2 linked regions of the Elephas maximus indicus genome follow. The protein of the gene in region 2 interacts with the protein of the main gene of each other region in a pairwise test. Links are inferred from orthologs where the notes say so. Each region holds a gene or a part of one and is shown on either strand. Other genes may lie near its edges. The genes, in order: HBQ1 and RFESD.

Region 1 (2,482 bases), on a different chromosome or scaffold from region 2:
GTCTGTGATGTGCTCAATACTGCAGTGGTACCATATAAGCCCCTGGGAAGAGGCAGGCATCCTTATTTTATCAGTAGGAAAAATGAGGGTCTCGAAAAGGGCAGAGACAGCCCAAGTGTCCATCACCTGATGAACAGGTAAGCACAATGTGGTCCATCCATACAATGAAATATAACCCGGCCATAAAAAGAATGAAGCACTGATACATGCTACAATATAGATGAACCTTGAACACATTATGCTGAGTGAAAGAAACCAGAAAAAAGGGACACACAGTGTATGAGCCCATTTATATGAAATGTCCAGAGTGGGCAAACCCATCGGGACAGAAAGATTAGTAGTTGCTAGGGTCTTGGGGAAGTGGAATGGAAAAGACTATCTAAATGGGTGCAGGGTTTCCTTTTGCAGTGATGAAAAAGTTCCTGAACCAGATAGTGGTGATGGTTGCACAACATTGTGAATGTACTTAAGGCCACTGAATTGTCACATTAAGATGGCTTAAATAGTCAATTTTATGTTATATGGATTTTACCACAGTTTAAAAAATAGGGTTTAGAGTAGCATCTGGCCCAAAGTGAGTGCTACCTGGGTGTTAGATCTTATTATTGGGGTACACTGCAGGCCCTCAATAAATGTCCACTGCACTGAAATGAACATCTGCTATCAGATAACACTTGACATGTTTCCCACTTAATTCTCACAACAATCCGGAGAAGGAGAAATTGTTATCTAGACTTTATACAACAAATGAGAAAACAGACTCCAGAGGTGTAATAAGACTCTGGAAGCAGAATAAACTCAAGTTCCATGCTAAAACACAGTGTTATCTACTACTAATAAATACTAAATATTATTTCCCATATAGTAGACACTCAAAGCGACTGGGCCCCTCAGGGTACAAGGCAATTAGGAGGGTCCTGGGTCAGGCCCGATGAGGGAGACTGAGCGCTCGGCACCCCTTTGGCTAGGGACTCGGCCTGTGAGGGGCGCCTCCTGGAGCCGCAAGGCGGCTCAACTCGGGTTAATGGCGCTGTCAGCGGCGGAGCAGGCTGCCGTGCGCGCGCTGTGGAGGAAGCTGGGCGACAATGTGGACGTCTACACGACGGAGGCCCTGGAGAGGTGGGCTCCCCTCCAGCCCCCCAGCCTCCCCTTGGGGCTTTCCTGCAGCCCCTGGGGGCTGCCGCCCTCCTGCGCTCCCCCAATCCCCTTCCGGGACGCCCCTTCTTCCCTGCCCTCCACCCCCAGGTAACCGCTCATCCGCCGCTCCACCTGCAGGACCTTCTTCGTCTTCTCCTCCACCAAGACCTACTTCCCCCACTTCGACCTAAGCCCGGGTTCAGCCCAGGTCAAGGCCCACAGCAAGAAGGTGGCAGACGTGCTGACCCACGCCGTCCACCACCTGGACGACCTGCCCAGCGCGCTGTCCGCGCTGAGCGACCTGCACGCGCACAAGTTGAGGGTGGATCCAGTCAACTTCAAGGTGAGGACCCTGCCGGGCAGTCCTACCGTCGCCAGGGAGGCACGGTCCCCATCAGGGCCGGGGTCTGGGGTTGACGAGACCCAGAGGAGTGCTGGGGTGCCGTGGGGCTGAGCGCAGCGCGACCCCGTGCTCCGCAGCTCCTTGGCCACTGCCTGCTGGTAACCCTGGCCCGGCACTACCCGGGAGACTTCAGTGCCACCATGCAGGCCTCGCTGGACAAGTTTCTGAGCCACGTGATCTCCGCGCTGGTCTCCAAGTACCGCTGAAAGGGAGGGGGCGAGGGGGCAGGGTCCTGGGCCTCCCAGCAGCCCAACCGCGTGGCTCGTTTGAGTAAAGTCCCCAAGGCCCCAGGCTGCCTGGAGTGGTGTTCTCTGGAGGGGGCGTGGGGGTGGAGTCCCGGGAAGGGGGTGCAGCCCAATTCCATGTCTTGAAGTTTCACCCGACTGTGTGTCCTTGGCCGCAGCCCCTCGGGGCGCAGACCAGGTGGCCCCTCGGGAGCAGGGAGGGGGGTAGGGGGTAATAGGTCCCTACACCTGCGGCTGGGCAGCTGTTGTCCTGGCCCCGCCACTCTTAGGGGTCTCCTCTGGGATCCTGGTCCCTCACCCGCCTGGGGCGGAGCGTGGGGGTGCAAGACTGGTGGCGCAGGTAGGTGGAGGGACCAGGAAACGCATGCGGTCTCAGCCTCTGAGAAAATAGGGAATGGCACCCCCTGCTGGTGCGGGCTGCGGAACGCTGCCCTCGGCCACATGCCCTCGCAGAGGGCTGAACCCCACAATAGTACACAGCTGCCCCGTGTATTGGTGTATTGGTATTGGTGGTTTTGTGGTTGGAAAGGCTTGAGGGGAAAGCCTCTCATTGCAGGACTCTGGTGGAAGAAGCAGGTCCAACTCCAGCACTCTGTCCGTCTAAGGACAGGGAGGCCAAAGGTTCTCTTATTCTTTTCTGTATTTTTCCTCTTAAAATCATGATCCATGCAGGGACTTATAACTTTTACTCCACCTA
Region 2 (3,925 bases):
AAGTTGGAAACAAAGGAGAAGGATCAGTATTTGGAAAATATGGCCTTGGTGAAAGAAACGATGCTGGAGATCGAATGATAGAATTTTGCAAGACCAACGACTTCTTCATTGCAAACACCTTCTTTCACCAACATAAATGGCGACTATACACATGGACCTCGCCAGATGGAACACACAGAAATCAAATTGACTACATCTGTGGAAAGAGACGATGGAAAAGTGCAATATCACCAGTCAGAACAAGACCAGGGGCCGACTGTGGAACAGACCATCAATTGCTCACATGCAAGTATATATAAGTATGTATATATATGTACACATACATATATGATTATACATATATATAAACCCCAAATGACGACGGTGATAGATATGATGACAATGGTTGTTAATTTTTTTTTTTTTGGTTTGGAAACGTTAATGTGGAAGAACTGTCTCAACAAATGTTTAAATGTTTAAAACTGAATAGCTGCCTAATAACTTAATAAAGTCAAGTAGTTTAAGAATGGCATGGGGACAGTGTCTAACCTCCTCTAACTTCACAAGGAGGAAGGAGAATCACGATCAGCCCAAGGCTGATTCCTATGGGGTGAAGGTCACACATACTTTCTTCCTCCAACCTCTTTACCAATTCTGACACCAACCGTCCCTCCCAGGGGACTCTCTATTTGTCACTAGGTTTGATAATTCATTACCATGGCCACACAAAACTCACAGACCATACTCATAGTTATGAGGTTTATTAGGAAAGTAACAGGTTATAATTCAGGTTCAGGAATGCTCAAGGTACAGTTCTTTGATCAGGACAGCCACTTCTCAGTCATGCAGAAGGCAGGCCTCTCTCTGGCCCTCAGCCCTCCTGGCCCAACCTCTGCCCTGCTCAGGCAAGTGTTACAAAGCTCTTTTAGCTTCGCTGGTAAGTGCCCAGAGGCACCCCACTCCACCACTAAGCTTTGATCAGAAGGCGCCCAGCTCTAGCTCCAGGGGTGGGCACACCTAGCTCCACCAAGTGCCTGGAGGCACACTACTCTGGCGGCAAGTCTCCTGCTGGTTTCCTGGTTCTGCTGCCTCTGCTGCCGCCATTTCTCTGCTACTGCTTTCCGCTGTCTCAGGTATTACAGGTCTCTATCTCCTGAGTCAAGGAGGTTCTCAGCACAGGGATCCCAGATCCAAAGGACACCCTCCAGTCCCATCTCTTCTTCTTGGTAGTCATGAGGTCCCCCATTCCCACATCTTGGATGGCTCATTTTAAGCCTAGTAGGACGGTGAAACTGACCAATCCCCTCATCAGGGTTCCACACACCTTACTTGCATGGTCCTACTCCCACAAGGGTGCCATGCACCTTATTTACATTATTAGCAAGCTATCCAATCCCCTTGATGGCCACGAGCACCTCATTTGCACAGTCCTACTCAGTCATTTGGTTGGAGTTACAAAGACTATGGCTAGAAGGGTCAAATTAATGAACTCACTGCACTTCAAGTAGCTACTCTGGAATTCACTACCTTCCTCTACTATATGAGAGATCCAGGTGGGAATCCTGGCTCTGCGTCTTACTGTGGGGCAGGCTGCACAACTTCGCTGCACCAGTAGTTTCCTCCTCTGTAAGAAAGCCTTTTGTAATAATAGCACCTGCCACATATTACAGGGTGAGGAATAAATAATACAAATGCTTTAATACACGTCAAATATTTAGAGTTAGGCCTGACTATGGGAAATACCCAAATAATGTTAGCTGTCATCCCTAAAGTCCTTCCAGCTTTGATAGTTTATAAATCAATGACTTCAAGCTGTACTTAACAGTTTAGTAAAGAGGTCTGCAGTTCTTATACTAAAGTGGTGCTCAAACTAAACAAACCAGTTGTTGTCAAGTCAAACTCATGGCAACTCCATGTGTGTCAGGGTAAAACTGTGCTACACAGGATTTTCAATGGCTGTGACCTTTCCGAAGCAAATCACCAGGGTTTTCTTCTGAGGCTCCTTTGGGTGGGTTCTTACAACTAACCTTTTGGTTAGCAGCCCAGCGCATTTTCATCACTCAGCAGAGCTCAGAGGCCCAGGAGCCACAAAGACAGTCTGGGCGTGGCTGTTCAGTGGATTCTCTGGATTTCTGGAGACCAACATTTGGGAAAGACGGGGCTGTAAACTTTGATATTTTGATAGTAAAGTTTGTTTTAACCCCACCTCCCCCCACCGTGATAGTAAAGTTTGTTTTAACCCCACCTCCCCCCACCGTGAGGCGTCAGGGCCAGGGTGAGACCCAGATTACTCAGAGAGCAAGGTCGGGAGGCCACTCTGACCCGGCGCTACCCTGCGCCAGCGGGTTAACCGTTAACCGGGGCTGAGCCGGGGCCCCGTGAGGCGGTAGGGCTCGCTCAGTGGGGCCGGGAGCAAAGGCCACAGGACAACTGCCTTCCAGCTGCCAGGTCGCCGCAGCCGCAACCGGAAGCCCGCGCTCCGGCCGTGCCGCCGACAGGAAGCAGCGGACGCCGCGAGCCCCGCCTCGCGCAGGCCGCCCAATGGCTACCGGGAAGAACAGAACTTACGGTCCTCGAGTCCCGCGCTCCGTCTCCGCGGGAGGGGCCGCCGAGGCCTCCGCGTGATGCGAATCCGCGAGTCAAAGCACCGCGCTACGCGCGCGGCGCCTCCGCGGGGCGGGGGGGGGGGGGGGCAAAGCTGCCCACGTGACCAGAGAGCGCCCGCCCCAGAGGCCGCCTAGGTGCCCCTGCCGCCAGATGACGTGGCTGATGGTGGGGTCGCTGGCCACTCACGCCCAGTGAGGACCTCCAAACTGGCAGTCTTAATGGTGTGTTTGACAGATATGGGTGGCATCAGTTTATTTTTTTAATTGTTTGTTGATCTCACCACAGTATCTAAATTTTAAATATACCCGACGATCTCACGTCTATGAATCTATCTTATAAAAATATTTGCAAAAGTTTGTCACAATGCATGTAATCCATGTATTTGTTGTTTAGTGCTATCAAGTCGATTCCAACTCACAGTGACCCCATGTGACAGAGTGGAACAATCTCACGGTTTTTGTGGTTGTAATCTTCAGGGAAGCAGATCTCTAGGTCTTTCTCTCGGAGAGCTGCTGGGTGGGTTCTAAGGGCCAACCTTTAGTTACCCACTGAGCGCTTAACCTTTGCATCATGAGGGTTCTTTAATCTATGTATAAGTGTGTTGATTGCAAGGAAAGAATAAGATAAAGTAGTGATCATCAACAGGAAAATGGTTAAATAAAATACAGTGTAGACGTATGAGTTACATTATAGCTGTATACGCAAATGACAAATGCCTTGGGGCAATGAATGTTAAAAAGGCAAAGTATAGAATACTGTATATACTTTAGTATAAATAAAAATTATCTTTAGTGATACAAATATGCAGGTATATATATAAACTTTATCAAAATAATTGAAAAGGAATTTAACGGGTTGCTGTGGGGTGACCATGAGAAATGGTTTTCACTTTCATCTTTTGAACCTTGCAGTAATTTTTGTAAACACGAAGTATGTTCTTTTATAGTAAGATGTCAACTGGCATTATATGGTCAGGCAAATTATGAGCAACTTTTTGTTTTTCTTTCTGTATGTCTCTGAGTTAAAAACAAAAACCCTTATACTTGTGTTCACAGCAGGAGACTAGATGAGTCTGATAGATTTTTCACCAAAGTGTTTCTTGACTCTGTCTTTCCACAGGAGAAAGATGTGGCAGTCAGCTTCCGTGAAGACCACAGCCTTGGAAATCCTATGGGGGAGTTCTACTCTGTCCTGTAGGGTCACTATGAATCCAAATAGATTGGACAGCAATGGGTTTTCCTTATCATCTAGGGTTAAAAAAAAAAAAAGAAAAGTCTCATCAAGTCCTACTCATGGTAACCCTATAGGATGCGGTAGAACTGCCCCATGGGGTTTCCAG

The links.
Region 1: the proteins of RFESD (region 2) and HBQ1 interact in binary tests that used the Homo sapiens proteins (3 or more experiments, as listed by UniProt). The two-hybrid records come from large-scale screens. The link is inferred for Elephas maximus indicus from reciprocal best matches to the Homo sapiens genes RFESD and HBQ1.

The regions. Positions count from the first base shown.
Region 1 is NC_064830.1:57,503,366-57,505,847, forward strand, and holds HBQ1 (hemoglobin subunit theta-1), read left to right. Parts: upstream 1-1,001; 5' UTR 1,002-1,024; coding exon 1,025-1,119; intron 1,120-1,275; coding exon 1,276-1,480; intron 1,481-1,617; coding exon 1,618-1,746; 3' UTR 1,747-1,829; downstream 1,830-2,482.
Region 2 is NC_064820.1:102,942,657-102,946,581, reverse strand, and holds the start of RFESD (Rieske domain-containing protein), read right to left. Parts: upstream 2,652-3,925; 5' UTR 2,548-2,651; intron 2,112-2,547; exon of another isoform or gene 2,007-2,111; intron 1-2,006.